3 linked regions of the Macaca mulatta genome follow. The protein of the gene in region 1 interacts with the protein of each later gene in a pairwise test. Links are inferred from orthologs where the notes say so. Each region holds a gene or a part of one and is shown in the gene's direction. Other genes may lie near its edges.

Region 1 (3,393 bases):
CCCAGGATGAGAAGGCTGAGGGCCTCATCAATGTCTCCAACTATAGTCTGGAAAGTGGACATGATCAGAAGAAGAAATAGTTAAGTCTTGGGATATGATGGGCTGGGGGATGGAGACAGAAAGGGAGAGGAAGAGTGATGGGGTGGCAGTGGGAGGTGTGGCAAGTAGCTGGGGCGCCCAGAATCCAGCCTCTCTGGGCTCTGGGTGGGCACGCCCAGGCTGAGTGATGCTCCTCCACTCCTTGACAGTGTGTTTCAGCTCACCCATGATGTGTACAAACCTTTCATCTTCGCTGCTGATACCCTGACAGATCTGAGCATGTGAGTGCTGCCTCCCTTAGCCCCTACTCTCATATAATTCCCAACCTCTGTGAGCTTGGGAGCCTGGGCTCAGGAGCCTGGAGATGCAAAGTCCAGCTCTCTGAGAGTGGTTGGTCAAGGTACTCACTTCTCTCTCTCTCTCTTTTTTTTTTTTTTTTTTTTGAGACAGAGTCTCACTATGTCAGCCAGGCTGGAGTGTAGTGGCGCCATCTTGGCTCACTGCAACCTCTACCTCCTGGGTTCAAGTGATTCTCCTACCTCAGCTTCCTAGGCAGCTGAGACTATAGGCGCCTACCACCACACCTGGCTAATTTTTGTATTTTTAGTAGAGACGGGGTTTCACTGTGTTGGCCAGGCTGCTCTTGAACTCCTGAACTTGTGATCCGCCCGCCTCGGCCTCCCAAAGTGCTGAGATTACAGATGTGAGCCACCGTGCCCGGCGTCTCTCTTTTTTTTAATTAAAAAGTTTTGGGGGCAGATGGGATTTGCTCTTTTGCCCTAGCTGGTCTCAAACACTTGGTCTTTTTTTTTTTTTTTTTTTTTTTGAGACGGAGTCTTGCTCTGTAGCCCGGGCTGGAGTACAGTGGCCGGATCTCAGCTCACTGCAAGCTCCGCCTCCCGGGTTTATGCCATTCTCCTGCCTCAGCCTCCGGAGTAGCTGGGACTACAGGCGCCCGCCACCTCGCCCGGCTAGTTTTTTGTATTTTTAGTAGAGACGGGGTTTCACGGTGTTAGCCAGGATGGTCTCGATCTTCTGACCTCGTGATCCACCCGTCTCGGCCTCCTAAAGTGCTGGGATTACAGGCTTGAGCCACCGCGCCCGGCCAACACTTGGTCTTAAACAATCCTCCTGCCTCAGCTCCCCAAAGTGTTGGGGTGACAGACGTGAGTCACCGCACGCAGTCAGTACTCAGTTCTCTAAGCCCCAGTTTCATCATCTCTAAAATGGGTGACTAAGAGTTCATCCTTCTCAGAGTTGCTCTGAGAATCATCAGAAGATGATGTGAGTAAAAAGCCCCTAGCATACAAGAGGACCCCGGAGAATGGAAACCCCGTGAGACCTGCTTGCTCTCCGTAGGTGGGTGCGTCATCTCATTACCTGCATCTCCAAGTACCAGTCTCCGGGCCGGGTGCCCCCGCCTCGAGAGGAAGGTAGGTGTCTCACAGGGTTGAGTAGGAGGAGCCCTCACCTGAGCCTCTGCCTTTCCTGGGATAGGGGCTGGGAATTCAAATGCCCTAGGCCACTCCCTGGCCTCCCCAAAGCCCACTGCTCCTCCTCACCCCAGACTGCTACAGTGAGACCGAAGCAGAAGACCCAGACGATGAGGCTGGGTCCCACTCAGCCTCGGTGAGTAGGGGGCTGCCGGGTGTAGGAGGTGGGGATAAATAGCAGGGCATGGAGCTCAGACAGAGACCCTCTGTGCTTTCCACCCTGCCTGCAGCCCAGCCCTGCTCAAGCTGGGAGTCCCCTCCATGGAGACACATCACCTGCAGCCACCCCCACACAGCGCAGCCCACGGACCTCCTTTGGCTCTCTGACAGGTGCTGGGCTGGAGTTGGGAGCTGGGCTGGGAGCTGGGGTGGGCACATCCTCATCCTGCTCCTCCCTCCCACAGACAGCAGTGAAGAGGCACTGGAAGGAATGGTACAGGGGCTGAGGCAGGGTGGTGTGTCCCTCCTAGGCCGGCCACAGCCCCTAACCCAGGAACAGTGGCGGAGCTCTTTCATGCGGCGCAACCGAGACCCTCAGCTCAATGAGCGAGTGCACCGTGTACGGGCGCTACAGAGCACACTCAAGGTCAGCTGGGGACTCTGGGCACAGCAAGGGACTAAGCTCTGGGCTTCAGGCTTTGGTTTGCAGCTCTCACCTCCACCCTGGGCACCAGACTCCAGACTCAGCTCTGGACTCTGAGCTTAGCAGCTGACAATGGGCTCAGCTGTGGACTGGGCCAGGCTCTGGGTTCCGAGTGGGGATTTGAGTCTCACCTGGGCTCCTCGTGCCACGCTGGCCAGGTGCTGGCTTCTAGGCACCAGACTCCAGAGTGAAGTCTGGCCTCAGACTCTGCCCACGTCCCTGGGTGATCACGGTCCCTTAGCCCCTCCTCTCCACACAGGCAAAGCTGCAGGAGCTGCAGGTCCTAGAAGAAGTGCTGGGTGACCCTGAACTGACAGGAGAGAAGTTCCGCCAGTGGAAGGAGCAGAACCAGGAGCTGTACTCAGAGGGCCTGGGGGCCTGGGGAGTGGCACAGGCTGAAGGCAGCTCCCACATCTTGGCCTCTGACTCCAGAGAACATACCCCCAACTCCCTGTCCTCTGACCCTGAAGAGCACTCCCATCTCTGCCCTCTGACCTCAGAGAGCAACCTCCAACCTCCTGACCTCTGACCCTGGCCAGCACTCTACCTCCTGACCTTTGACCCGAGGGCCACCTCAACCCCAGCTTCTGACATGTCCAGGACAGAGCATCCCTGGATTCTGTTCAGGGTGGGAAGTAGTACTGCTAATCACGGTCTCACCCCGAGCTGACCCCTCTGCCTGCGCTTTGTGCCACCCTCTCTCTTGCCAAAGAAGAAACTCTCCCACCCCATCCTCCCATCTCTGGGCCACAGCCCTGCCCCTACAGTTCCTTGACAGTTCTCCCCCAAAACCAGGTCTGTACAGGTGTTCTTTGTTTTACATGAGGGCTACTTTCCAACCAAATACAGTCAATTTTTAAAAAAATGAGTCTACATGTATCTTTACTTCCATATTTGAATTGGAAATCTGCCCCCCGGTGGGGACTGGGGTGAGTGCTCTTGGCCAGAGAGGGGGTGGCAGACCCTTGGTACAGCCCGTTGATGTACATGCGAGTACCTGAGCTCCAAGCCTGCCAGGATGGTGGGTCCACCTCTCCCCAGCTCTTTGAAGGCTAATGGTGAGCTCCTACCCCATTCCCCAGGGGCACACAATGAGAAACTTTCACTTCATAGATGGGGAAATGCACTTTGCATGGAAAGATGGTGGGGACAGTCCTGGAGACTGGGCAGGTAGGACAGGGCAGCTGGTACAGAGGGGTGCAGGTTGAGGTCTGCCCT
Region 2 (3,950 bases), on another chromosome or scaffold:
GAAGTGGCGGCATAGTGAAAAGGAGGTGAACTTGTAGCTGGCTTTCACATTCACTGTGATCTCCACCATGTTCCATTCATTCATTCATTCATTCATTCTTTCATTCATTCATTCCACGCTTGCATACCCTCTATGTCCCCAGCACTTTACCACACACCAGAGCACAAAAGGTAACCTTGCCCTCATGGGACCTGGAGAGTAATGGGGAAGCAGATGAACAAATCTGCATGTGTCCTGAAGTTATAGGGAATTTGCATTTAATTTATACCTGTTTCTTTACAGCACAGCTTTTTCCAGAAAGGATTTGAACCAACCTGCCAGAAAAGACACAAGCAATAACGTGATACATTTTAACCAAAGAAGAAAATTAGAATCAAAGGAGAAAGTGTTTATTGAGCACCTACTATGTCCCAAGCATCTCTGACACATCCTCTCACTCCATCATTTCCATATCCCCGAGTTAGTGTTATTCCCCTTTCACAGATAAGCAAAGCGAGGCTGACTAGCCCTAGCTGAGAGTCAAACAGCTGAGTCAGTCCCCAAAGTTCACACGACATCATAGAAAAGCTGTTGATGAGCTTTTGATTTGACGATGAGTTTCCCAGCAGCCTGGGGGAGAAGGAAAATGGAGCATATTACCCGATTGTTCACTAGACAAGAAAAAGCCAGATATTTCTTTGAAGGGAAGGAAAGTCCTTCCTAGCACTGAATTCATTTGTCTTTTCTTAAGTGGGAGTTGGAAGAGAGCTTGTGGGGTGGAACAGAGGGGGCCCTGCTAGGACTGTCCAAGTTGGGTGCTCCTATGGCATTCATGTGAGGAGGTTGCCAGGTAAATGCCCATGGTTCCCTGGAAAATGTTCATCCTCAGTGAACATCACCCTCGGTGTCTGTGCGTGTGTACGTGTGTGTGTACATATGCGTCTGGGTGTTTCTTTCTGTCTTTCTCTTTTTTATGTGGCCCTCCCCTCACTTCATCTGTTTGTTTGTTTGTTTGTTTCCACCTCTGTCCCTCTCTGGCAAAGGTCCCTGCTGCTCAAAACTCTGCCAGTTTTTAGGAAGTGCTGTTGTGTCAAAAGCCTGCACACGAGACCCCAGTGGGCCAGGACTGACTTCCTCCCCACACAGGGCTGGGCGGGGCAAGCAGGAAGGGGCCCGTTACAGTCAAGGTGACGCATCCTTGCTGGGTCAGCCCGAGCAGCAGCTGGGTTGACAAGCGACAGGAACACGGGTCATCTTTTCCCCAGGGGCGTCACAATGGACCTGTGCCACCCAGGTAAGCAACTGCAGTCCACCTCTCTGGGCCTCAGGGTGCTCTCTTTTAGAATGGGACGGCAGCCCCTGCCTCACAGGGTCCTAGATAAAGGAATACAGCACAGGCGGAAAATGCAGCTGCGCGAAGCAAACATTTGTGGGCTCAGCCTAGGTGTCCAGTTGTGTTCTGGGGGCTGGGCACACAGCAGTGAGCAAAGCAGACGCTGTTCCCCCCTTCACGGGCTTGTCCTCTAGAGGGAGAAACAGGCAATTACTCTAATGTGATGCCCTACGTCAGTTGGTGGCAGGTAGGATGAAGAACAGTAAAGCAGGATAAGGAAGAGGGGAGTGCATGGTGGAAAAGGCCCCAAGATGCTGTCTAATGAGGGACCTGAGGACGGTATCAGCTAAGGGGCCTTCTAAGGAACAAACATTTCAGCCAGAAGGAACGGCCAGTCCAAAGGCTCAGAGGTGAACTGAGAAAAGTGACTTGTGATTAAGATGATGATGTGATGTTGGTGACGGCGATGCTTGTCTGGGTGATACAAGGGACTTGAGGTCCCTTTCTGGCCGGGGGTTGGGGTGGTCTTTGGGGAGGCTGAGGACGCAGCCTAGAGCCGGGGGAGGGCCGGGAGTGAGCAAGAGGCTCTGATTGAAACCCTCCCCAGGGACTAGGACCATGTGTCTGGGGAGAAAGAGGAGAAAGGAGGCTGCAAAGATGGTGAGGAAAAGAACATCAGGATTGTGTTTGGGGAGGTAAATCGAAGGTCCAGAAGAGGGGCCAAGTTTCTGTACCCTGGATGTCAGTGTTCTCCAGAGCTGCAACGGTTCTGGTGAACACGGCTGCTGGAATTCCAGAATCTACAGGCTGGTGGGAGCTGTCTGCTCCCCAGGTCCAGATGACCTCAGCCTTGTCCGGGAGCACCCTGGCTTCAAATGCACCTAACATGGAGCAGCCTGGCCCCGCCCACTGGGCATCCCCCTTCCCCCACCCCCCCACCAGGGAACACAGTTAGAGAACCACTGATCCATTTCAACAGCCCCCCAGTGGCAGAAGGGAGAAAAGAGGCCAAGCGAAGAAAACAGTCTCTCTGCGGCAGGGGCAGGACCAAACCCTGTGCCGTGACTCCCTGTCCCGGGCTCACTCTCTGACCCCTGCCTCTCCTGTGGGCTTTGGAGGTTCCCAAAATCACAGCTCAGTGAGCACAGCTGGGGGACACCTGGTCGGCACAGGGAGGGAGACCCAGCAAGGGGCAGCACCTGACTCAGGCCTCTCAGCAGACAGGAGGGTGGGGATGAGGCGGGGAGGGCACCCACTGAGATGCAAGACCCCCGCCTGTGTGTCCAGCAGGGCACTTTGTCCTTTGGGGTCCTAACATACTAAGGTTACAGGGATGGCTGTCCCCATATTGCAGATAAGGAAACTGAGGCTCCCAGAGGTGAACTAGAGGCGAGGACTGACTTGCTTGAGGTCACACGGGCAGTCAGCGGCAGAGCAGGGCTGAGAACCTGAGGGAGAAAGCCCCAAGTTGGCCGGGGCTGTGGAGAGGGCACGGGAGGGGAGAATCTGCTTTGCTTCAGCCGGTACTAGGGAGGAAATGAATTAATTGGGGTCAATGCAGCGATGGATTAATGGGGTCAATTGGTTCTCCATTGAGTAGTTGGTCTTTTCATTCATTCACTCTACAAACGACCTTTCAGTGTGCTAAGGAGTGCTGGGGACAGCAGTGACCCAGCCATGGGCCTAACCTTGGGGGACGGGTGTTGGTCTGGAACGTTGGGGGCGGGGTGGAGAGGCAGGAGTCAGATCCGGCAGGACCCTGACCCAGCCGTGCAAATGGACACAGGCTTAGAGATGGGAGGAAGCGACTTTTCCCACTGGGGCAGAGGAGATCTGGGAAGACCTCCTGGAGGAGGAGGCCAGCAGGAGGGAGGAAAGGTCATTTCCCCGTTGCCCAGACTGGGTCTTAATTCGGGCTTCTCCGTGGCCCAGTGACTTCCCCTCTCTGAGTTCCGATTTGTCATCTCTACGTGGGTGCCATCATCCTGGCCTGGCCTGGGGAAGCGGGGATTGGGAGTTAGCCAGACCTCGCTCAGGTTCCAGCTCTGCACCACCCTGCCAGTGGTCATGGTCTCTTCCTTCTGTGGGCCTCAGTTTTCCTACCTTTATTATGGACAGGCTGGTGACACAGGGTTCCCCAGGGCTGCCTCCCCTCCTCTCCTGAGGTGGGCCTGTGTCCGGAAGCAGGTAAGGCACCCTCCCCCAAGGCCTGCCGGGAAGATGAGAGCACCAGACAGCAAAGCCCCAGTGTGGCCGAAGACGAGCACTGCGCTGGTGCAGATAAGACAGGCAGGTGCAGTTAAAAATAGAGCCAGCTCGGCTCGGGGAGAGGAAGCCACACTCTGCAGAGCCTGTGGGGCTTGTGGGGCTGGGGAGGGGAGCAGCTCCGCCCACACCCCCTCTGCCCCAAGGTCCCTCCTACTTAGACTTTGAGGGGCCTCTTTATTTAGGGCCCTGAGATGGGTCCTCCTCCTGCCCTGGAAAGGGGAAGTGAGGCCAGCTGTTCTGGAAGCAGGGCTGCAAGCTCAAAGATTTCTAAAAATACGATGGGAAAGAGGAAGGACAAAGAGGAAGTGGGGAGGAGCCGGGGAGACGGGCACATTCACCAGCCTGGGCACAAGGGCAGCACCAGCCTGTG
Region 3 (4,254 bases), on another chromosome or scaffold:
TCCCAGCTATTTGGGAGGCTGAAGTGTGAGGATCACTCGAGACATTGCACTCCAGACTGGGCAAAAGAGCGAGACCTGGTCTCGGGAGAAAAAAAAAAAAAGTGTCCCTCGTGGCTTTGGTTGCACGAGAATGCTTGGTGTTTAATTCTTGAGGTTATTAGGAGATTGAACTTTGAAATCATCCTGCAACCTTGAACCAAAAGGTGAAAGTTGTCCACTTTGATAGATGACAACGGAAGGATCCTTTGGTTCAATGGACAGCTTGTAAATATAAAACAGTTGCTGGAAAATTATATTAGAGATGAGCTATCTCCTCCATTACAATGTTTGCTTTTCTTTAATGCAATTGAGTTCCAGCAGAAAGGCTTGGGAGGGGCCACAAGCAATGCTTCAGGAGTTACTGGAAGCGAGATATGGGGAGTGAGGGAGGAGATCCATCGATGTGGAGCAGGGGCCAGGGGAGGCCTTCTGCCCAGGAGGCCCGCGCTGAGGACCCTGGCTGTGCCCAAGGGAAATTGAATTCAGAGCTCCTTCTGCATCATAAATCCAGGACAGCTGGCAGCTCTCCAAGGGAGACCGGCGCTAAACTCCAAGGGCATTAGCTGCCAGATTGGCCAACGCCTACAATGCCCTTTGAGAGCTGAGCCCTAGGTGTGTTGGACTGGGATTCCGTTCTAATCTCACGACCACGTTCATTTACAAGCCCTGCATTTTGTTAATTTAAACATGCACTCACCAGGAGGGAAGGAGGAGAGCCTCCAATATATATAAGACAGCTGAAAGACTGGAATTATTCTGACATGCATGTCTTAGGAAGGAGAAGGCCTGATCTTTTTCTGTTTTTTTGAGACAGGGTCTCACTCTGCCACCCAGACTGGAGTGCAGTGATGCAATGATAACTCACTGCAGCCTTTGCCTACTGGGCTCAACTGACGTGACCTCATACCTCAGCCTCCCCAGTAGCTGGAACTACAAGCACAGGCCACCATGCCCAGGTAATCAAAAAAATTTTCTCTAGAGACGGGGTCTCGCTATGTTACCGGGGCTAGTCTCCAACTTCTGGTCTCTAGCCATCCTCCCACCTCGGCCTCTCAAAGTATTGGAATACAGGTGTGAACCACCGAGCTTAGCCAGGCCTGACTTCTGAATGCGTTCGTTTCCTGATCTTTTACCCCCAGTGCACGTGTATGTTGCACCCCTGGCCACTGGGTTTTGCAGAGTGTTGCGTTCCAGTGTCCGGGGCCCCACGCCCGTCCGCAGGCTACTGGAATGCTGAGGGCGAGGGGGCTTCGTTTCACTCGCACCACGTCGGCCCGCACCCCAGGGGCGGGGTCTACCGCCTCCCCCAGCACAGACGCCGCCGGGCCCGGCCGGTCCCAGAGGGCGGGGCCGCGCGGCCCCACGCCCCACCCACTGCGAGCAGAGGCGGGGCATGGGTCACGTGACGGCACGCCGAACAGCGAGGCCCCGCCCGGCGGGAGGAGGCCCGGCCGCGACCCGGGCCGCGAGCTGAGGAGCCGCCCGGTCTTCCGCGCGCTCGCTCCGGCGGCGTCCCCAGCCCTCGGCCCCTCTGTTGCCGGCCTCCGGCTCGCCGGCTGCGAGAGTGGCCTCAAGATGGATGAAGACGGCGGCGGCGAGGGTGGTGGCGGTGAGTGTCGGAGGTGTGGCGGGCTTGCGGGCGGCCTGGGGTCGGGGGCCGGGGACCGGGGGTCGCCGGAGGAGAGGGGGTCGGAGGCAGCGGCAGCGGCGGCGGCGCCTGCTGGAGGCCTGAGGCGCGCCGGGCCGGGGCCGCGGCGGGGTCTCCGGGGGCCCAAGGGAGGGGGCGGGCCGGGGTCGCCGTCCACCGCTGGCGAGGGTCTGGGTACCAGGCCAGGGCTGCTGCGGGCCGGGGTCGCCCCGGAGTCTCGGGCCGGGATTCGGGGGCCGCCCCTCTGGGGCGGGGGACCTTGCGGGGCGACCTTCCCCGCATCTTGTCGCCAAGGGCGTCCACGCCCTCCGGAGTCCGGCGTTTCGGACGCCCCCTTTCAGCTCAGGTGGGCGGAAGCGGCTGAGCCGGTGGGAAACCGGGAGGGGAAAGTTTTGCACTGGAGGCTCCTCGGGGGTACAGGAGGGGAGGGCCGGGGAACGGTTGGAAAGCGTGACAGTCTGCTTGGCTTTGGGTCAGAAACGGTCGCTGGATTTGCTCGAACGGGGAGGGGGCCAGCTGGAGTCCAGGTCAGGGTAGACGTTTTAGGAAACGGCAGACGCGACAGAGTGAGCAAAAAACTCCGTGGGGTCGAGGGTGGGGGTCACGAGCTGCACCCAGCACCGAGGCGAGACCGGAGAGCCAGGTGTGCCCGGAGCCCCGTGTGCTCCCGAGTGGGTCGGATCGGTGCCCGGCGTGGCCCAGGTGGTCTTGTGCCTGACGTTCGGTTTCCTCTTGCTGGAGGAATCGTGTTTGTTGGAAATTATTTCGTGGAATACAAATGACTGCTAGGTCATGCTGGGAATTAGATTTTAAAAACAGAAGAACGTGCCTCTGTATGGAGTGGGTGTTCGCTTTGGAAAGCAAAGGGTTAATGCCCGTGTTTTTACAGGAACAGCTGAAGTTGAGGTTCTCTAGACTTTTTTTTTTTTTTCCTAAAGATCTCCTTTGAGCTGACAGAGAAATCATCAGAATCATCAGAACCCCATGTAATAAGGGAGCAGTTTAGAGAAATCTTAATTACAGGCTGCCGGAGCAGCTGCCTGTAAGAATCAGCAGGATTGAATGCTTCAGGATGAAGTGGTTCATCATCAAGGTGCCTTCTAGAATTCAAGTGCTGCTCAGAGGGTGATTTTTTTTTTTGCTGAAAGACGCGATGCAGCCAGGATGGTGGGAAGTTGGCACCCGTCATGGCATTTGGCGAGTTCAGTTCGCATAGTTGAAGCTGGGGTAGCACTGTGGCACCGAGTGGGTGTGTTGATGAAAAGGGAGCGCTGTGGAACGAAGGAGCCGAGTTGCGAACCCTCCTACAGTCAGGCTGTCCGTCTGGAGCCATGAGATCCTAAGGAATGGATTCCCGGTGGATGTCGTGTTTCCTGCCTGTCACAATTTGGGCATAGCAGTTTTCCCTTGTTAGAAAAGAAAGACAACTGTAATATGCAAACGTTGGACATTAGCGTCAAGGCAGCTAGCTGGCTTGGCAGTTTTGTTTGTAAGGTGCTTTGGGCTTTGTGAGTAAAGAAGTGTAGACTTGAAGATAAAAGCAGGCATAAAGAGGAAAAAAGGCGGCTTTAATGTGCTCCAGCAATTTGCAGATCTTGAGTACTGTAACAAAGCATGATATTAAATATCAAAAGTCTTAAAACTGTCCTTGGGTTGTTAATATCTCTTCTGGGAATATATCACAGGGTAACAACCTTAAACCCCTCACATATAAAGATGTGTATTATGCTGTTTATAATAGCAAAACATTGGAAACAGCAATGCCAAGAGTAGGGGCATGGTGAGGTAAATTATGGGAAGTTTATTGAAGTATTTTACAACCATTAAAATAAGCCGTTTTATACATCATGGTCTAAACAACATAAAAATTAGTGACATGGATTATTTTCTTTTTATATTTTCCAAGTTTCTGAAATAAGTGTGTATTTCAGATTTGAAAAAAAACTCGTCAAAGACATGAATGTTTTAAGTGTATCATTTAATTCATCTCACTGGAACATTCAACAATGAGGATTTATTTATTGATTGCCCATCAAAATGCCAGCCAGCATGTTAGGTGCTGGAAAATAACTTTTAACCTTTATTGATTTAGTTTATTAGTAGCTTTCTCCCTTGCTGTGTGACAGACACTTAAAAATATTTTTGGCAATATTAGGATATTTATTTTTGAAACAGGTGAAAACGTTTTGAAATATGAGTGATATTGTAATTATTGTATAAACTTTATGTGCTTATATTTAACTCTTGGCGGTTGGAAGTTTTGAAGTTAACATATCTCTTTACAGTTAATACCATTTAGATTTTTAAAAAATGCTTTAAAATTCATGTTTAAAAAAATAAAGTTCAGCTCTTTGAAAGAAAACCGTTTTCAGTTGCCAGCAGATTATAAAGCATAACATTTTTTGGTATATTTTTAGAGTATGGTACATAATGTTGAACAGTATCTGGGGGAGTCAGTTCGGCTTGTTTAAAAGATAGGGTAAATAATCTATTCCAACAGTAGTTATCGCAGAGGCCAAAGATAATTGAAAAGGTCTTTTTTTGTTAATGGTCAGATTAAAAGACTT

The links. The genes of interacting proteins can lie anywhere in the genome.
Region 2: the proteins of CNKSR1 (region 1) and CYTH4 interact in binary tests that used the Homo sapiens proteins (3 or more experiments, as listed by UniProt). The two-hybrid records come from large-scale screens. The link is inferred for Macaca mulatta from reciprocal best matches to the Homo sapiens genes CNKSR1 and CYTH4.
Region 3: the proteins of CNKSR1 (region 1) and CYTH3 interact in binary tests that used the Homo sapiens proteins (3 or more experiments, as listed by UniProt). The two-hybrid records come from large-scale screens. The link is inferred for Macaca mulatta from reciprocal best matches to the Homo sapiens genes CNKSR1 and CYTH3.

Annotation. Positions count from the first base shown.
Region 1 is NC_133406.1:214,821,764-214,825,156, reverse strand, and holds the end of CNKSR1 (connector enhancer of kinase suppressor of ras 1), read left to right. Parts: intron 1-5; coding exon 6-79; intron 80-248; coding exon 249-320; intron 321-1,398; coding exon 1,399-1,472; intron 1,473-1,606; coding exon 1,607-1,668; intron 1,669-1,762; coding exon 1,763-1,862; intron 1,863-1,936; coding exon 1,937-2,118; intron 2,119-2,434; coding exon 2,435-2,704; 3' UTR 2,705-2,893; downstream 2,894-3,393. UniProt on the Homo sapiens protein: May function as an adapter protein or regulator of Ras signaling pathways.
Region 2 is NC_133415.1:14,267,233-14,271,182, reverse strand, and holds the start of CYTH4 (cytohesin-4), read left to right. Parts: upstream 1-1,150; 5' UTR 1,151-1,254; coding exon 1,255-1,273; intron 1,274-3,950. UniProt on the Homo sapiens protein: Promotes guanine-nucleotide exchange on ARF1 and ARF5. Promotes the activation of ARF factors through replacement of GDP with GTP.
Region 3 is NC_133408.1:44,755,140-44,759,393, forward strand, and holds the start of CYTH3 (cytohesin-3), read left to right. Parts: upstream 1-1,454; 5' UTR 1,455-1,614; coding exon 1,615-1,648; intron 1,649-4,254. UniProt on the Homo sapiens protein: Promotes guanine-nucleotide exchange on ARF1 and ARF6. Promotes the activation of ARF factors through replacement of GDP with GTP. Plays a role in the epithelial polarization.